4 linked regions of the Caenorhabditis elegans genome follow. Changing the gene in region 1 together with any one later gene gives a genetic interaction. Each region holds a gene or a part of one and is shown in the gene's direction. Other genes may lie near its edges. The genes, in order: unc-52, let-23, sos-1 and sem-5.

Region 1 (5,244 bases):
TTCGTTTTCTTTAGATATTTACATAAATAGAATTTACTGAATTTCGAGACAAAATGTGCAAAGCCAAAATTTGCCGAAAATTTTATTTTTCAAAAAATTCACTTTTTTTTCGTTTTCCTGAACTTTGCCGATTTGCGGGGAACTTTAATTTTCGGCAATTTTCCGTTTCGCCGTTTTCCGAGAAAAAAAATTATTTGCGGCCCACCCCTGGTGTGTAATGTATGCATGCGACAATTTCCTAACGCGCTAACAATTGCCTTTACATTAGTTTACAACTCTTCCCGGTTATAGATCTCATTCATCCTGTTGCGTTTGTTGGGTGGCCCCCTCCTCATTGGGATATGTTTGCCTGCTTTTTTAGTTTAAGTGTGTCTGTATTTTTTTCAAAATGCTTTGTGTTATGGTTTTGTTTGGGCTTAAAAACTTTTTTTTTCGAAAATTGCTAAATTATTTTTGCCATTTTTAAAAAAATTTTATTCACTTTCATATATTTACTCACTGTACTCAAAAAATCATATTTTTTCTCTTGAAAATTTTGTGTTTGTTCCAATTGTTTTTTCCTCTAATTAACTCCCAATTTTTTTCACCAGCTTTCCCCAAAAGATTTGCACTTTTAGATGCAAGAAGTATAGGGATAGTGCGAAAATCAGCAAACAATTCTCCCAGCTCTCCACCAATTTTCCACTCTTTTTCCTCGCCGCTTTTCACCTTTTAACCTACTACCCCCATTCCAAGCAGCTACCGTTCCTCCCTTAAATCGGCTTGAAGACTGTCCAATTGTTGTGTCAATATTTGTGGGGGTACTTTTATATAATCGGAAGGTTTCGACAGTTTTCGCCACCTTCTTTGGTGAGGTGGCGATATCAGTGATTATAAAAGGTATGGGAAAATGAAATATATATAGTCAAAGCTATAACCTCTGGGAGATGATTCTTCCTCTATTTATAAACACTTGAGGATGTGAAAATCGGACGGAAAAGACGAGCCACCAATATGAGGTTTGATGATCGGGGAACTCTCGTCGAGTGATGAGATGACGACGACCTGTGTATGTCGGAAAAGATTTGGGGATATTTTGTTTGGACAGGATATATGATGGTTTGGGCGGGTATTGCAACAAAAACTCTTTTTGCCAAATGAAATCAAAAGTGCACGCGGGCCGGAGCAACTTGAAAAAGGCGAAGCTTTGTACATGGTTTTCACCGCCTTCCTAGAAAAATCCTAGAATTCAGAAATTTGCAATATAGAGTTGTTTTGAATTGAAATTCATGAATTGATCACGAAGTGGCTAGGTTTATTGTATGTACAAAAGTCTTTCGATAAGACTATGGTAGCACACTCAAATGCACTTGACGTGAAACGCCAGGTACTGTGGATTCACTCTGTATCAAGAGAGTGGCCGACAAATTTTATTTTTGGCAGTTGCCAAAATTGAAAATTTTAGGAAAATTGTGGTTTTGCAACTATGTATTCATGCAACATCAACATATTTTATATGTTCTGTTGAATTTTTGTACTTTTCTGGAAATTATGTAGTTTTACATAAAATGAGGACTGCTAGATTTGAAGCTTAAACACACTGGAATTGCTTTAGAAAGTATACATGAGAACTGTATGATTTGGTTACTGTCAGCTAATGGCCAGAAACGCATTAGAATTGGAAATATTTTCTCAAACACCAATGCTACCAAATTTTCTAGCTCTTTTCAAACTTGCACCCCCAATAGCGGCAACCGCGTCTAATATAATAACAATAAGCAAGAAACATGCGAATCTATATTATATATTATGAGACGGTTATATACCATGATACTCCGTCCAACGTGGTGCATGACAAGCTATTCAAGTATGTGAGTGTGTGAGTGAGTGTGAGTGTGTGTGATGTGTTTATGCTAGTTGCGAGACGCGCAGGCGCAACAAGAGAGGCGGCTCTAAAATGCAAATATTTACCTGAGTCAGGAAAGAAATTCAGTTAGAGAAGAAGGAGGGTGGAAGCTTCTCCTAAAAAAGTGGGCGGGGCCTAAGAAGTTGCAACTGTGCCGCTGTGCCTCGCCGCCGCCGACGGTCAGCGCGCGCCTCTGTCTAGCAACCTTCTATCTCCTTACTTTCTTTTTTTAAAACTGACCTACTGCTCATTTATACCCCCCGTCAACTAGTTAGGGGGGATGGCGTTTTCGCTGTTCTCCGTCGTTTCACTGACGGTCATCTACCGGTTGACCATCAACTTTCCCGAACTACCGTACACTCAGGAGTTGAAGAACGTTGAGAGCGATGAGTTCGTGAGCACATCTAGAGATATAGCTCATTCTATTCAAGAGTTGGTCAAGGATCTAGAAGGAAGGCATACAGCTAAGGTTGCCGATTATAAGTGAGTTTTGAGTGAAAAAGGTTATCGACAATTTTGGGCGTTTTTCACTTTTCAAGAAATTCTAAAATTGCTCCCCTAATTTCCACATATTTACTTTTTTGCGGAATCTTAAAATTACAAAATGTCCATCAGTCCGTAATCCAAACCCGTAACTGTTGCCCGTGGGCCATAACCCAGAGTCCGTAATCCGCAAGTTCGGAGACCCGGGTTCCAAAATTGGGAGTCCGGAGTGCAGAGCCCGGAGTCCATCGTCCGGAGAACGGAACCCGAAGCCCGAGGTCCGAAGTCCGAGGTCCGGAGTCCGCGGTCATTCAAAATTCAACAATACTAATTTAGAAGGCATACTTCTGCAGCTTAATTTTAAAAAGTATATATTAAAGTTTTCAAATAATTCTTCCAAATTCCAATGTCATGTTTTCTGATAATTCTTAACAAAAAAAAAACGGTCGCTTCCTCCCACGAGAGAAAGTCAACAATAGAGTATTTTGTGTAAATACATGCGTATGTATGTACATGTGTGTGTACCTATATGTTGTTGTAACTTCCAGATATCACAAAATCATTGGATCTCTTGTCTACGTGGATTTGTACGCTGAAAAAGAGTCACCACTGGTGTCTGATGTGTTGTTGTCCGCGATAAAGTCTGGAAAAATTGGGAACCTTACGGTTTCCGATGAGGGTTTTGAGCTTCATGTTGTAAGAGGTGTGTTGTTGTGTGTTGTTGTGTGTTGTTTTATATGTTAAAATTATTCAGTCGCCTGAAAAATCTTACTTTACCAAAAATTGCAGACTCGTCAATAGCCTGCGCCACCACAGAATTCACATGCCTTGACAAGTCATGCATCCCGGCGGATCAACGTTGTGATGGAAGACGCAACTGTCCAGATGGATCAGATGAGCACAAGGAGCATGGAAAATGCAAGCAGCATCAACCAATCATCCATCAAACTGAGAAAGTTGTCTTCGCTCAGAAACATGGATCCATCCATCTCTCGGCTTCAATTGATAGTTCGGTAGAGGATAATAAGGTTCGTATACACTTTATTTGATTATAAAAAAGTGTCTACATGATTGGAGGCTATGCTTAATTTTCTAATTCCAAGCTATGTTGATAATTAAAAAAAAAGTTTCTTAATTGACTTTTGAATTGAGGTAATGCTCCGAAAAATCTTTTAATATTGTGTAAAACTATTGATTATTCCAGATTGCTTGGTCCAAAGACAGCGTTCTTCTTGGAGTTGGCTCGATGACCTTGGCAGAAGACGGGCGTGTGACGGTTTACAAAAAAGGAGACAAACATCATCTTCATATCATCAACGCCACCGACGCAGATGATGGAACTTATAAAATGATTGTGCAAGGAATAAATGTGGAGGCTGATTTTGAGGTAAGCGTTGGAAAGTGATTCAGGAAATTTGAGAAAAATATTAAGAAAGGGGTTTCCATATATGCTATCATTGATGGTTTGAAACTTCCTTTAAAATTTTAAATTTCCAAAAATATTGGCAAAACTGTAACTGAGAGGTTCAACGACTATTATATTTGCACATGAATTTTTTGGTCCATTTTTTAAAAAATTTTTCTTCTCCGATTTGCATATTTTGATACATTGTGTTTCAACTTAAAGGACTTCAAACAAGTGAAAATATGTTTGAAAATTTCTAAAATCAAAATTTTTCATTATTCCGAAACCGATCAGAACCAATTTCCATTTACAGTATTTTTAGCTATTCATAAAATGTTCAATTTCAGGTCCGCATCACCTCCGACCGTGTCGCCACCGAATCCGACGAATGCCCAAGCGGGGAGCGTGCCTGTAAATCTGGACATTGCCTTCCAGTCGCCCAATTCTGTGATCGCCGAGTTCAATGCCCAGATGGTGATGACGAGGAACATTGCTCTGGTAGGGGGCCTCTTAGTCATAAAATACATTGAACATTTCGTTATAATAGGTGCTAGATACTACCTCGCTCCTTAGAATGTAATAATTGATGTTTTTCATTGTGAGAAAAATACTAGTACCAAAAAATGGAAGATAGATCAATGACTCATTTCCAATAATTTTTAGTTGAAAAGCAGCCAGTAGACCCGGTTATTCCAACAAGGTGAGAGGGGACGAAAAGAGCACACACACACATGTGTGTGTGTGTGCTCGGAGAAACAATAGTTAAACATTTGACCAGCACACTTGTTTTGTTTTTCGCACACTTGTAGGAGAAAATGCTCAAGGAAAAATTGAAAAATTGTGCTCCGTGCTTGAGAAAATCTTTCGTCGACTTGACTTATTACAGAAGTGCAATGCAAATCGAATGAGTTCCGATGCGAGTCCACAAATGTTTGTGTGCCAACTGTCGTCGTCTGTGACGGATGGAAAGATTGCCATGATGGTTCTGATGAAAAGGTAAGGGGTTGGGGAATTTTAAATTCAACAAAGTTGTACTGTGAAACTACAGTAGGGAAATCGTAGGGATACATTGGACCCACAAAAAGACCGCATTTTTGCAATACAGTAGTATTCCAGAGCCTGTATGGATACTCTATAAGATATTACTGTAGATGCACTAAATAATTCAGGAATGGGCGGCAATTGCTGTTCGGCAAATCTGGCAAATCGGCAAATTGCCGGATTGCCGATTTGCCAGAAAAATCGTTTGCCGCACACTCCTGATAAAAGGTGCCTTTATTGCATTTTTTTAGACAATTGGGATTACTCCAGGAGTTTTCAAAGGCAATCTTTAATTTCAAGTTCCTTTAAATTTCAATTTTCCAGAAATGCTCCCATCCACGCAAGACCTACAAACCTCATCATGTCCACCACGTAAAGGTCAACGCAGTTTGCCAAGATGGCTCGGAGCCCGAGTTCAGTCTTCACGGCT
Region 2 (5,193 bases), 5.5 Mb from region 1:
AGTCTTTTGAAAAGTTTCAAATTCTATCCGAAATTGTTACATAATGTACCTAAATTCACATTTTACGGTCCCCGAAGTAGTGAAACTGCACTGAAATATTTTCAGGTCGAAGTATTTTACAGGCTTCAAAATGGTCCACTGGTCCAGTCATCAATACCTTTTCCGGTCAGGTTACTGTAATCCAAAAATGCAACCTCGAACAAATGATATATGTTTATAGTCTCTAATACTTCCTTGACCTCTAAATACCTTTTCTTCTCCTCCTTGCCCTCAGTTTTTTCTCATAAATCTTCATAAACCCACTTGACACCTGGAATCTCTTCCCCTCCCTCATCATTTTCCAATCCTCCCTCACCTATACTTTCAATAACAAATTTTCTGCTCTTTTCTTTACGAAGAAATAGACAAAGTGACTCTGAGCCAAGCCACACAATCAAAATCCAATCATTTTCCACATGTTGATCTCCTCTTCGTTCATATTTCTTAGGCGCATCTAGGTGTTCAACCATATGGTAATTAGGACCGCCCGTGTTCTTCCCCACTAGCTGCCAACCGATGGCGGTATGACTTCAAAGGGAATGAAAATGAATCAAGAACCCTCATTCTTCAGTGTTGTTGCAAGATTGATTTATTAGTTTTGAGAGGTTTTTTTTGTTTCAATTAATAGATCTCCGAATTTTGCCTAAAATTTGAATGTATCCACTTTTTACTTTAAGATATTTATGTTAAAGTTTTCAATGAACATTTTTAATGCAAAAATTGTGGAGACATTATCTATTGTTTTTAAAAACATCAATGAAGATCCCGATGTAATTTTTTAGATTTAAAACGGTTTTCTAAAAGCAAAACGCCAAGCAAGCATTTGATAACCATTTGCACATAGAAATACGCCGCCCAGCCTTTTCCCATCAACCTATTCATATTCAAGTTCTATTTGTCGGGAGGTCCATTGAGTATTGTCCACGTTTATAAATCTATTATGATTCACAATCTAAAAGAGCTCAGAAATAAGAAAGAATGAGAATTAGAGAAGCAGAGAAGATGCTCAACAACCATCGTCTTCTTCTCTTCCTTATCAACCACCCACACAGTCCTGCTCACTTGCTCCTATCACTTTTTTCCTTGTACCGAAAGAAAAATATGAACAATTTGAAATACTGCTGACAAATTTTTGTGTACGACGTCAAATGCGTTTTGGCATGTGATTGAGGTTTTGATTTTTTTTGGTGTAAAATTCATTTGAAAAATAAATTCTTCGGACGAACCGGAAATTTTAAGCTTTTAGTTTCATATATCTTACTTACTTTTCAGCATATAAACTACAAAAACCTACAATAATTTTTCAACTGAAAATCGATCTGAACTCTTCTAAATTCTAAATTAAAAAATTTCCCGGATTTCCGCCATTTTCTTTTCGATATTTCTTAAAAGCATCTCCTCAAGTTTCCCATGCCGATCGTATGTTGTTCTTTCCTCTGATTCATAGATTTCAATTATAAAAGTGAGAGAACTTGAGAGCTCGAGACGTCACGCACAAAAGAAACCATTTTTCTAACTTCTCGGAGCAAGAGGTACACTATTTTTTAACGGCTCTTTTTTTTACAATAAAATTAGGACTGCGCAATCAATAAAAATTATTGAGTTCGTTCAGCGTTAAAAAAAATCAAAAAATTTTTGCAGAAATTTTGGCTTCAAATTTCAATTTCCACTTAAAATCCTTGTTAAGCCAGTAAGATGCTATACATTCAAACTAGGATATTAAACGCATACTACCCCAAACACACGAACTGTCGGAAGCTGTACCCGAAATTGTGTCCTCCAATTTATCTTCACACAATTTGACAGCAACTCGTCCATATTGAGAACTCGTCTCTGGGCCCCCCGATGGGGAATAGGTCGTAGACCACAAAAAGAACGTGGCGCCACAACACCAATAAAACATTTTTGTACGTTATTCTATGTATGGTTGAACTGTGTCGTTGTTGAAGAGTTTTAATCCCATCTCGCTCGCATCACCTTTTTTTGTTTCAAAAATCGCCTCCTTTACTGCCTATACCTCTCCCAATTCTCTTGACAATATCGACCAAAAACTGCATTACTGATGTCCAATTTTCATTTCAGATGAAGTTCCCTTTTTTATTCTTATTTTTAATAATCTTAATTGATACAACAATTGATGCGGCATCACCAACGTCAACACAAGGTTCAGTAACTGTACGGAGGAGGCAACGGAAGATTGTGGTGAGAGAATGTGAGTTGGCTTTTGGAATTATTACGTTTTCCATTATTTTGTTCAATTTGATCAAAATTTGAAAATCGTGAAAAATTGGATCTGAAACCGATTAGAGCGAGGTTATGAATCCTATTTTATTGGCTTGTCATTTTTTTGATAGATAAATGACTCCGCCTATATCTTGGTTTTTCTCAAAAAGATTTCTGTGAATACGAAAATTATTCCACATGAAATTGACCACCATAGTAAAAAACAAGCTTTTGGATTTTTATTAAAAGTTAAAATAATATAATGTTTAAAAATGCATTCCGAACAGGAAAGTATGTCTCAGAATTTGCAAACATTTTTTTAAAGGGAACCTAACAGATCCTAGTGGTGAGTAACCCCGTTATATCCAAATATAATTTCCTTTTCCCATTGTTTTTGTGGTATTTGTGATGTCCTCGTGATTTATCCAAAAACCCAATTAATTACTCTTTCCCCCACACATTCATACATAGAAATTTGCAACTCATTCCATTTCGAAGCACTTGAGAAGATGAAAAATGCTAGAATTGAGGCAAAAATGAAATGAAAATGAGCACACATTCAGTCTACTACTCTCTGTCCCGTTTTTGGGTATCACATGTATAAGAGGTAGAAAAGTGGTCATAGAAGAGTGAAAAAAAGGAAGAATTTGTCCAAGTTTTCTCACTATCTACAATTTTCTGGGAGGCATGCGATACCCTCCCTCTATCGGTTCAATTTTATTGATTATTCCTATTTTTCTAACATTTTTTGGAAATTCTAATGCACAGTTGTGGAAAAGATGTGTTTCACCTCAAGACTGCCGTAAGTGGATAAAATGGGAAATTGTCAACAATGGCAACTGATTTTTTTTAAATCATAGAATATACATATGCGATTTGATGTGTTCTTTCTAAAAAGTTTCAAGACATATACTTTAAAAAAATGTTCATTAAAGTAATACAATACTTTTTGTAGAAATTTAAATTTTTATTAATTTTGACATGAATCATGATATTTCGATTACAGAAAGTTATCAAAAGTTCATTACAAGTACAGTAACCGGTAGACACGTGAGAACTTTATCATTTAAAATGTCATTCAGAGGACAAGTAATCGGATCATCAAGAAAATTGAAAGGCTCCATTTTTTTCTTTTTTTTTGAGATAAGAAAAATTTTTAAAATAATTCTAGTTAATTTTTAGAGAAACTAGATTTTTTGAAACCAAAATATGCATCCCCTCTGTGAATTTTTCCTCTTTGAATCAAACAAAAACTTACACGAATTTCATTCTTGATTTTCAGTTTGTTCTGGCACAACCAATGGAATATCGAGATATGGAACCGGAAATATTTTGGAAGATCTGGAAACTGTAAGTTGTTGAATAGGGATTTATCTTTGATTTCTGCTGTTAAACCATACGATTAGAATTTTATTTTAAAAAAATTTAAAAAGTTCCGGATCGACGAAGTAACCATCCAAAACAAATAGTCAAATAGCCCCAGGCAAAACTAAATTTTTTGCCAAAACAAGGAAAAATGTCTTGATTTAGATGTACCGAGGGTGTCGTCGTGTTTATGGAAATCTTGAAATAACATGGATAGAAGCAAATGAAATAAAGAAATGGAGAGAATCGACGAATAGCACTGTGGACCCAAAAAATGAAGATTCACCATTGAAATCAATTAACTTTTTTGATAATTTAGAGGAGGTGAGTATGAAAACATCTACAACAATAGATGTATTTTCTACCAAAAACGTTTTTGCTTAAATCTTCCTTTACCTTTATTTTTCAGATTCGAGGAAGCTTAATAATTTATCGTGCGAATATTCAAAAAATATCATTTCCAAGACTACGAGTAATCTACGGAGACGAGGTTTTTCACGATAATGCATTGTACATTCATAAAAATGATAAAGTTCACGAAGTTGTGATGAGAGAGTTGAGAGGTTTGTTTGCTCAGCTTTTAGAGACATAGTATTTTATTTTTATTTTTCAGTGATTAGGAATGGAAGTGTCACAATTCAAGACAATCCAAAAATGTGTTACATTGGGGATAAAATCGATTGGAAGGAGTTACTGTACGACCCAGATGTACAGAAAGTTGAAACTACAAACTCACATCAACATTGCTATCAAAATGGAAAATCAATGGCAAAATGCCATGAAAGTTGTAATGATAAATGTTGGGGATCCGGAGACAATGATTGTCAACGAGGTTAGCAAAAAAATTAGACTAGACATAAGTTTTTGTTCATTGTGGCTGAATTTTTCAAACTTCTGAAAAAATTTAATTTTTGACACAGAACGATCAAAAGTTTCAAAATTATTTTAAAGAAATTATGTAAATAAAATTCACCAATATGCAGTATATTTTCAGTCTACCGTTCCGTATGTCCAAAATCTTGTTCTCAGTGTTTCTACTCGAACTCTACAAGTTCATACGAATGTTGTGACTCGGCTTGTCTTGGAGGATGTACAGGTCACGGACCAAAAAATTGCATTGCCTGCAGTAAATATGAATTGGATGGAATCTGTATCGAAACGTGCCCATCGCGAAAAATTTTCAATCACAAAACAGGACGATTAGTTTTTAACCCAGACGGAAGATACCAAAATGGAAATCATTGTGTGAAAGAATGCCCTCGTAAGTTATTTGGATAGAGATAAATGATGAATAAGCAGAATCCACAACTCACGAAATACTTTTTCAGCTGAACTTCTAATCGAAAACGATGTATGTGTTCGTCACTGCTCAGATGGTCACCATTATGATGCTACAAAAGATGTTAGAGAGTGTGAAAAATGCAGAAGTTCCAGCTGTCCAAAAAGTACGTTTTCTTTTTGAAATAAATCAATTTCAAGCTGCACTAATTCCTACAAAATCCCTAAAAGCTCAATAAATACAAAATTTTTAGTTTGCACGGTCGATGGACATCTGACAAACGAGAC
Region 3 (4,996 bases), on another chromosome or scaffold:
CCATTTTTTGAGCCACCATAACTTTTTTAAAACAAGTTTTCAAGATGTTTCATTATAAAATTCGGTGTTTTCAGACTATTTTGAGTTTAGTCAAGAAATAATAATCGAAATAAAAAATCGACTACACCACTTTTAGCATGAGATAAACGATAAAAGTATGCAATAAAGGGTGATAATTTAATAAAAACTGTAAGTAAAATTCCAGAGGCTGCCATAAGCAAGAGTTGCCGAAATTTCGGCTTTTTTTTCGATTTTTTTTTAAGAAAAAAGTCTCATTATGATATCCAGTCAGTTTTGGTCTATTCAAGCAAAATAACCAAAATCTCTACTACTTTTCAAATTTCTTCAATTCGATCGAATTTGACCTCAAAAAAATCGAAACGAGAATCAAAAAAGAGTCGACCTTGAAGTAGTGTATTTGTGTTGATTAGGTGGGGCTACTGATTGCACTGCAAATCAATAAATATATAAAGTCTTCTCAACAGATCAAACTGGTTCGAATAGAACAAGGCCGTGGTGAGAGATGGTGGCCGGCCGTTGTCGGGTGTCCATTTCTCTAGAATCTCTCACAGATTCCTGCAGTATTTCGTCAGCAGCCGCCGGCGGGTAACCCCCCGCTTCCCGTTCTCATCCCGTATCATTCTGTCCGCTTGTCTGTCACCTCTACGCTTCCATCACACTCCATCTTTTCTTCTATTTCTTCTTTTCAGTGTGTGTGTTGTTCCATGCATTATTTTTGCGGGTTGTAATCATCATCATCATCGCCATCATACACTTTTCTCCTTCTTCTCCATCTTGCTTTTCTCGCTCTCGTCAATATAGTTTTTGTCTTAAATAAACTTTGCAAAAGTGAAAATTTAAAAAAATATATAAATTCGTTCCTTGCATGCAGATTTTTTTTTCTGAAATTGCCGGAATTTATGTTACCAGCCAGGGATGTCCGGCAATTGTGGTTTGGCAAATTTTCTTGTCCACAAATTCGGCAAATTGCCGATTTGCCAATTTGCCGGAAATTTCGATTTTCGGCAATTTGCCGATTTGCCGTTCGCCGGATATCAATTTGCCAGAAAAATGAGGGTTTTTTATATATTTTTTTATATTTTTCATAACACTTAAAACTGTGCCTTTTTGAAATTTTTTTCCGGTTTTCTTTAGATATTTTCATAGAATTTGCTAACTTTTCAAAATAGATGTAGGAACATTCATAGGATGCGTACAATTTTGCTGATTGAAATTGAACTTCTGGAATTCCCAAAAAAAAAGTGCAAGGCCACAATTTGCCGGTTTGCCGATTTGCCGGAAATTGTCAATTCCGGCAATGTTGATTTGCCGGAAAGTTAGCAAAAATCGTTTGCCGATTTTTTCCAGCAAAGCGGCAAATGGCCGGAATTGAAATTTCCGGCAAATTGGCAATAAACCGGAAAAGTGGCAATTGTCGAAAATTTTCGGCGAAACGTGGTTTTGCACTTCTTTTTTTGTTGGAAATTTCAGAATTTCAATCTAAATCGGCGAAATTGTACGCATCCTATGAATTTTCCTACGTCTGTTTTGAACTGTAAGAAAAAATTTAAAAAAGGGGCAGTTTTAAATGTTCCCATCTTATAAAAATCCCTCTAAACATTTCCGGCAAATTCCAATTTTTTCGAGGAATTGGATTATGTTCCATATATCAACGAAAAAAAAAACAATTTTATTAAACAAAATAAATTGAAAAAATTCGGAAATTTTTCATTTGACGGTATATGCTAAAATATTTTTTTCTGTTCACTTTAAGGTACTTCTGGTGATTAGAAAATTTAAAAAAAAATCGATTGTCAGCGTAAGAATTTATTAATTCATGAATTTTAACTCGTAACTTATTGTTGGCCCACTAATATATTTTTTCCTAAATAATTCAAAATTTCATTGCAGATGGTCATATAAATGAGCATAATGAGCATATCACTGCACTCGGCATCATCGGATACGGTCTCGTTGACCAGCCGACGAACAATATCAACTAGTAAGCATTGGGCGGCTATTTTTGATGAAAGAATTTATCAGGTTTGTATATATTTGAATATTTCCTGAATTCAATAATATTTTTCAATTTCAGATATGCAATATCGTACATCCTGGCCTCCCGATTGACAATGCTGCAGTTGAGCACATTCGATATTTTTTGCAAAGTATCGTTTTTGAGGTATATATATATATGTATATATCGGTTTTTTTTCAAATCTAACAAATAAATTAATATTAATAAATTCCCCCTGTGCATTTCTTGACCTTGTAATCCTTTCCCCTCTTCAGCTCATCGAAGCACGTGCCACAAGTGTCGTCGAAGTGGACAAAACTGCGAAAAAGCTGTTCGCATTCGGTCTGCAGACTGTTTGTAAAGTAAGGGATTTTCAAAAAATGTTTCCAAAAAATTTGTATATTCATAAATCATCAAAAAAGATCGTGATTTGATTTTCAAAACTATTCATTTTTTGTCTTTTATCCTGAATATTCAAGTTTATGGAATTCTTTCCGCTTTAAAATATTTTATTTAAAATGTACTACGAGAACACAAAAATCTGAGAATGCGTATTGCACAACATATTTGACGCGCAAAATAACTCGTAGCGAAAAAGAAAACTACAGTAATCCTTCAAATCACTACTGTAGCGCTTGTGTCGATTTACGAGATCTCGATTTTCGTATTAAAAGCGATGGAGCTTATTTCGAAAATTGGGCCCCGTAAATCGACACAAGCGCTACAGTAATCATTTAAAGGGTTACTGTAGTTTTCGCTACGACACATTTTGCGCGTCAAATATGTGCAATACGCATTCTCAGATTTTTGTGTTCTCGTAGTACATTTTAAATAAAATATTTTAAAGCGGAAAGAATTCCATAAACTTGAATATTCAGGATAAAAGACAAAAAATGAATAGTTTTGAAAATCAAATCACGATCTTTTTTGGTGATTTATGAATATACAAATTTTTCTTTTTTTTGCCTAAAAAATCTGGGTTTGGACAAAAAAAATATTAAAAAAGTAGTGAAATTGGTGAAAAAACCAACAAAAAAAAACGTTTTCCACCTAACATAAATACAAGAAAAATGAAATATACTCTTTGGGAAAAAAATATTTTTAAAAATTCTAAAATTCTGAAAAACCACAAATTAAAATGAACAAACCACGAAATATTGAAAAATTCAACTTTCGAAAATTTTCGTGATTTTAAAATTTGGATTTTTCAGAATTTGAGACTATTTTTGAATTTTTCGGAGCAATATTCCCCCTAAAATGTGTATTTTTTCTGATTTCTCGAATTTTCTTAAATATTATTTCAAAATTTGCAGGAAGCCTGGGACAACATGCACCAACAACTCCAAAAGCACAAATATCAAAAAGCCCTGAAAACAGTTCTAGAAAGCCAACATCGCCTGGCAGCAGTCATCAAAGAAACACTTGGACCACGAGAAAAAGAGAAAAAAGATCGAGAAAAGAAGGAAATCGAACGTATCGCATGCTATATTTATTATGCATGTGAAAGTGTTACTGAAGATGTGCTCAGGCTGACTGGAAATTATGTGAAAAATATTCGAAATAGTGAGCAAAAGATTACGATGGCTAATCTTGATGTGGCGATGAACGGGGATAAGGTACTGCTTTTTTTTGGAGAAAAATATAAAAAAAACCTATTCAGCAGAAAATTTGCTTCGAAAAAATAAAAATAAAAATAGTCTTGAATTCAGAAAAAACCAAAAAAATCGCAATTTTAGCTAAACACAATTTTGTTTTCGAAATCGAAAAACGAGAAAAAAATTTTTTTTTTGAAAACAAAACATTTTTCGCCGAAAAATACGAAGAAATAATAAATTTTTCGCCAAAAAACACAAAAAAGCGAAAAGAATAAACATTTTTCAGTTTATAACGTTATTTTAAAAAAAAACTTGCTTATTTTGACCAAAATTGCATTAAAAAAAATTCGAGTGTGATTTTTTGGAATTTATGTAAAATTTAATATTTTTCTATATTTTTCAATTTATCAGAATTTTCCGCTTTTTATCAATCTTTTTTTCGAAAAAAAAGCAACAAAAAAAAACACATTTTTCGCCAAAAACACGGCAAAATCTACAACCCTGACTGCTGCGACCAATCAGCGATTCGCTCCGCCCATTCTTCAACCAATCAGATGGAGTGGGCGGAGTTTGGTGGCGCTGATTGGTTGTGCAGTTTTCGTTGCGGTGGGAATTCAAAGTTAGCCAAAATTTTCACGATTTTCTTGTGTATTTTTTTCCGAATTTGAGACTATTTTGGTTATTTTGAAGCGAAAATTCAAAAAAAAAAAATCCCAGAAATTTCTGAAATTGACCTAAATTGACCTGAAAATCGATAATTAGACTTGTTTGCAAAGAAAAAAAAAAGGAAAATCTAATTAATATAGCCGTCGGCAATATTATTGCCGAAAAACGATATATTAATTGGGTTTTCTTTGTTTTTTTTCTGTTTTATAATTGGAAATATTATTTTTTCAGACTTTTTTCTGGAAAAAGGGTATAATTTTAAGATTAAATTATCGGTTTTTGGCCAATTTTGGCTAAATTTGTTTCAAATTCTCTTTTTTCATAAATTTCATCTCAAAATTATATTGCATATGTCCACTTCGTGCCAGGCTGTCCCATTACGGTTTGATCTACGAAAAATGCGGGAATTTTTTCCCAGAAAAAATGTGACGTTAGCACGCTCTTAACCATGCGAAATCAGTTGAGAACTCTGCGTCTCTTCTCCCGCATTTTTCGTAGATCAAACCGTAATGGGACAGCCTGACTCCACGTGTATCTGCACGTGGTCTCAAAGTGTCCCATTTTGGTTTGATCTCCGAAAAAGGCGGGACGTCACATTATTCCGAGGAAAAAATTCCCGCATTTTTTGTAGATCAAACCGTAATGGGACAGCCTGACTTGACTACGTGTATGTTACGGTGAAATATGAAATTTTTTTTTCAACTTATTTCAACTTTTG
Region 4 (4,667 bases), on another chromosome or scaffold:
TTTTCTAACTGTCATTTGCAAAAGTGGCAAAAGTTGGTTAAACAGGGTTTTTACGCTCTAAGCAACTAGAAAAAGTGTGTGAAAGTTGACGAAAGTTGGTCGAGAAGTGGGAAGTGGTGGAAATCTAATGGCAGTTAGAAAGTGGCCAAAGTAGGTTGAGAAGTGGCCACGAGTTGCCGACTACGGAACCTAGTAAATTTATTGACAAATCAGTCACATAACCTTGCTCTTGGAAGTTCACACTGTAAAACAGTGAGAATTTTCAGAAAAGTTATATGGATATATTTAAAGAACCAGTGACAAAATTTAATATTTTGGTTCTTAAAAAAGTTAATTTCAGTCATATATTAGTTTTACTATAGATACTGTTCTTACGATTTTGTATTAGTCAGGTAAATACACATTTGTCAAACTAACTAGTAGTAAATACAGTTGGTTTCCAGCTAGAAAACACTATTCCTTATTATATTTACGTACACTCACCGATTAAAATGTCAAGTATTTATGAGTAACTGTCACAGGTTCGATTATCTTTTTTATATCGGTTAAATTATAGTCTTATTTCGTAATTTTCATTAAATTTTTTAACTGCTAAATAATTTTCCAGCAACTGAAGTTCAAAAATTTGATTGAAGTTGCAATCTATTTATGTTTCCTATCTAATTTATCATCTCTAGCCCTATTTCCGAAATAGTTTTCATTTTTATTTTTGAAAAGAGAATCGGTACTGACTACCCAGCACACCCAAATGTTTTGATTTCTAGACGGTTAGTCACCTCAGGCTGGACAGGACAAGGTGGGAGTGTGTTTGTTGACATTCTTCTAATCGATGAATTGCAATACCCAATGCCTTGGAGCATTTTCAATTTGATTCTTTCTTCTTCGTTTTCTCGTGTTCTCTTATCACTTTTCATTTGTTCTTTTCCGTTTCTCCGGCCATTCATTCAAAAGTGTAAGAAAAGACGTGCATGATGACTGCTGATAGCGTATCGCACTTTTTTCTCTGAATCTCCATTTGAAACCATGTAAATTACAGAACTCATTGCGGAAAACAGTACGGTCCGGCCTGCCCAAACTCGCCGTTGTTTTTGTGTGTGTGTGGGAGAGACAGATAGAGACAGTGCGAAGATGGGAGAGAAAAAAGAGACACGAAGAACGCGTGATAGATTTGGAGTATTAGAGAAAAGTAGTGTCGTAGCATTCGGCACATTTAGTGTTGCATACAATGCGCCGGAATCGACGACACTTAGTGTTGCCCCGGTTTGTTACTCTCCGGTTTCTACTGTTTCCACTGTTTCCCCGTTTTCACGTTCAAACACTCAACTAAAACCACCTCAATCACCGAACTAGTGACCCTGCGGGTTTTTATTTTGCGTTCTGCGTTTCTCAATTTCATTTATCCTTCTTTTTTCTCGCCGGTCCTCTTACTCATCTCCTGTTACAATTTGCACTACGCTCTTCTCATTCTCATTTTCCCTCTCAGTTGTTCCTCTATGCTTTGCCGCTAGATTTTTTTATTGCTCTAATAATTTTTCATTGGCGCCGCGCGGATATGTCGATATGTAGATACAGTCTCTCAAGCAGGCCAATTTATTGACAACAATGTTTGTTCAATGTACTCTGTTATGTTTTATTTTGGTGTTAATTGTTTCTGAAGCTGCAAAGAGTATATTTCAGGTAGCGAGACGATGGAGGCGGTCGCCGAGCATGATTTCCAGGCGGGATCACCTGATGAGTTGTCTTTCAAGAGAGGAAACACGCTAAAAGTTTGTTCAACAATATCATAACCGGGCCCTGATAAAATCAATAATTGCAGGTTTTGAACAAAGATGAAGATCCACATTGGTATAAAGCTGAATTGGATGGAAATGAAGGATTCATTCCTTCTAATTATATTCGTATGACTGAATGCAATTGGTATGTTCGGGAAAAAATAGTTTGACTTTTTTGAGGATTTAATCTATAAGCTTATATTTTAAAAATCAGTCGATCTTACTTCTCGCGGTTTTTGTTTGTATACCCCGCAGCTAGGGCGCGAAGAACTGAGAACGCTTGCGTAAACAATTTTTAAAATTTCTGGATTTTTAGGTACCTTGGTAAAATAACAAGAAATGACGCAGAAGTATTGCTGAAAAAGCCAACCGTACGTGATGGTCATTTCCTTGTCCGACAGTGTGAAAGTAGTCCAGGAGAATTTTCGATCAGTGTTCGGTAAGAAGATGTTATAGATTTTCAAAAAGTTATACATTTTTTTCCAGATTCCAAGATTCTGTACAACATTTCAAAGTTTTGCGTGATCAAAATGGTAAATATTACTTGTGGGCTGTCAAATTCAACTCTTTGAATGAATTAGTTGCTTATCACAGGTGAGTCACACTTTTTCAAAAAAAAAGTAAAAAATCAATAATTTTCAGAACCGCTTCTGTTTCGCGTACTCACACAATATTGCTGTCAGATATGAATGTGGAGACTAAATTTGTACAGGCCCTGTTTGATTTCAACCCACAGGAGAGTGGAGAGCTAGCTTTCAAAAGAGGAGATGTTATCACTTGTAAGTGTTTTTGAAACACAAATTTTCATGATTTTAAAATGTTCAATTGAAAGTTTGAATCAAAAAATTCTAGGTTTAATTGAAAATGGTAAAAATGGATATATCTTGGACTGTATTTCGAAAATTTTGAAACTATTCACTTTATAGATCTTAAAACAAGAATATTTAAGAAGAACCATAAAAATAACAAAAAGGTAATACAAAGTACTAGGAAGATAATATGAGACGTCTTGCTTAAACTAACTTTCACTGGAACAAATAAATGCACGTATTGAAAATCAGTTGTTAGATTAGTTTTTGTATAAACTCAAATTGAAATGAAAAAACTCTGTGGCTATTATTTACTTTTCGGAGAAACATTGGATTTCAAGATACAATTTGCAGCATTATGAATGTTCACAACGTAAAAATAGAGTTAATCGGTTGATCATCTATTTGTCGGGGTTGAGCAACCCCGAAAAATAAAACATTTAGAAAATCTCTTATATTTTATTTTCAGTGATCAACAAAGACGATCCAAACTGGTGGGAAGGACAGCTGAACAACAGGCGTGGAATTTTCCCATCCAACTACGTATGCCCTTACAATAGCAATAAGAGCAACTCCAACGTGGCTCCTGGCTTCAACTTTGGAAATTAGGACGTTATTTTAGGATTTTTCCTGTCTCTGTTCGTTCTTTAAAAGGAGCGTTCAATGTTTCTTCTATACCATTTGTTCTTGACATAGTAGTCTAATAAGCCCTCTCTTACTTAATCTCCAATAATAATCACTAAATCTTGTCACAAACACACTTTCCAATGCTGGGTATTAATTTCACAACTTTCTCAAAACTGAGATAAGTTGTTCGTGTTTTACATGTAGACCATGAATTTTCAATGTTTTTATTCTTTGCAACTTGGAACTGCCATTGGCAATGTTTTATCGATTTTTTGTTCGGTTTCGTTGGCAATGATACAATTCTTGTTGTGTTATCAACAGCCTTTTCTTTCCCGCTTTCTTCCAACCCCACACCAATTCTATTACGGATCTATTAAGCGATTAGATACTCTGACACAATACTCAGAGACTGTTCGCATTTGTTTTTTTTTGTGTTCATGCAATTTTTGTCATAACTATTTGCCATTTCTCGTCATTGTCTCTCTTTTTCTTTTGACATTTTGCAATTCATCCAAAACCAATACGATTTTTCGTTCGGTGCTACATTGTTCGGTTTTATCACAACTCACACTGTTCTGATATAGTTTTATCACTTCATTCTATTCCTCCGGCTCAATCTCTTGTCGAGAGCATCATGAAGCTTCTCTCTGCCTCCCACTTTACTCGCCGTCTTGCTTTTATATCGAATTTGTCAAGTATTTTCCAATCCCTTTGTAAATCAATGAAGGTTAATAATTATTATATTAATCCACTTTCTATAATTTTTACAGAACATAATTTGTAGATGCAAAGTAGTTTATCTGGAAAATTTTGCATGTGGAGTTTCCTTTAATGACATTTTCACATTTTGCAAGCTAGTTTGAACAAAATACTCAGACATTTCGAATTTTAATAAAAGTCTTCTCCGATTAGTTTTAAAGTTTATACGGCTCTAAAAACGAAATTAAACCATTAGTTAAAATTCTATAACGAGTCAATGATAATAATTAAAATGAGCGTAATGGGTTGTGAAATCTTTTGTCAACGGAAAAGGTGAAGTGGTATGTTTTTCGAACTTAAAAATCAATTTTTTTTCAACCAAAAAGCGCGCCGTCTTTACTTATTTCTTGGATATACCAGATAACAATTTATTCTAAATTTTAAGTTATTTTTTTAAATTATAATTTGTGAGTCTCAAAAATGCAATAGTGCTCTCAATTTTTTTAAAGCAACGTTAATGTCTTTTGCTTTACCACACCTTTGATTAACAATTGAATTTTGAAAGAAAACGTAACAATATAAAGCCGTATATATTCGTTGTTTCGTGATATCACGAATTTACAGACCGTTTTATAGTCTCAAAACGACAATTGGAAGCTTGATGCTCAGTTGACGTAATTATATTCCATGGAAAACATTTTTTGCATTGAAAACCTTTTAAAAATTCGCAATTTGAAATGTATGCAAGTTGTTTATGAGC

The links.
Region 2: of unc-52 (region 1) and let-23, changing one enhances a phenotype caused by changing the other (phenotypic enhancement), as found in Caenorhabditis elegans (2 studies listed by BioGRID, with this or other methods).
Region 3: of unc-52 (region 1) and sos-1, changing one enhances a phenotype caused by changing the other (phenotypic enhancement), as found in Caenorhabditis elegans (2 studies listed by BioGRID, with this or other methods).
Region 4: of unc-52 (region 1) and sem-5, changing one enhances a phenotype caused by changing the other (phenotypic enhancement), as found in Caenorhabditis elegans (2 studies listed by BioGRID, with this or other methods).

The regions. Positions count from the first base shown.
Region 1 is NC_003280.10:14,681,218-14,686,461, reverse strand, and holds the start of unc-52 (Basement membrane-specific heparan sulfate proteoglycan core protein), read left to right. Parts: upstream 1-2,005; 5' UTR 2,006-2,165; coding exon 2,166-2,368; intron 2,369-2,916; coding exon 2,917-3,071; intron 3,072-3,157; coding exon 3,158-3,396; intron 3,397-3,572; coding exon 3,573-3,755; intron 3,756-4,120; coding exon 4,121-4,271; intron 4,272-4,659; coding exon 4,660-4,769; intron 4,770-5,138; coding exon 5,139-5,244. UniProt on the Caenorhabditis elegans protein: Component of an integrin containing attachment complex, which is required for muscle development and maintenance. Probable structural role in myofilament assembly and/or attachment of the myofilament lattice to the cell membrane.
Region 2 is NC_003280.10:9,195,397-9,200,589, forward strand, and holds the start of let-23 (receptor protein-tyrosine kinase), read left to right. Parts: upstream 1-2,115; 5' UTR 2,116-2,121; coding exon 2,122-2,251; intron 2,252-2,587; coding exon 2,588-2,608; intron 2,609-2,860; exon of another isoform or gene 2,861-2,949; coding exon of another isoform or gene 2,950-3,064; intron 3,065-3,544; coding exon 3,545-3,612; intron 3,613-3,792; coding exon 3,793-3,951; intron 3,952-4,036; coding exon 4,037-4,190; intron 4,191-4,240; coding exon 4,241-4,459; intron 4,460-4,621; coding exon 4,622-4,888; intron 4,889-4,955; coding exon 4,956-5,072; intron 5,073-5,159; coding exon 5,160-5,193. UniProt on the Caenorhabditis elegans protein: Tyrosine-protein kinase receptor which, upon binding ligand lin-3, activates 2 signaling cascades: the let-60/Ras and MAP kinase signaling pathway and the let-60-independent phospholipase C-mediated Ca(2+) signaling pathway.
Region 3 is NC_003283.11:4,546,207-4,551,202, reverse strand, and holds the start of sos-1 (Son of sevenless homolog), read left to right. Parts: upstream 1-1,911; 5' UTR 1,912-1,923; coding exon 1,924-2,043; intron 2,044-2,095; coding exon 2,096-2,182; intron 2,183-2,292; coding exon 2,293-2,379; intron 2,380-3,330; coding exon 3,331-3,633; intron 3,634-4,996. UniProt on the Caenorhabditis elegans protein: Promotes the exchange of Ras-bound GDP by GTP. May regulate signaling pathways downstream of receptor tyrosine kinase, egl-15 and let-23.
Region 4 is NC_003284.9:7,958,734-7,963,400, reverse strand, and holds sem-5 (Sex muscle abnormal protein 5), read left to right. Parts: upstream 1-1,677; 5' UTR 1,678-1,688; coding exon 1,689-1,766; intron 1,767-1,816; coding exon 1,817-1,917; intron 1,918-2,088; coding exon 2,089-2,211; intron 2,212-2,258; coding exon 2,259-2,366; intron 2,367-2,414; coding exon 2,415-2,551; intron 2,552-3,050; coding exon 3,051-3,190; 3' UTR 3,191-3,948; downstream 3,949-4,667.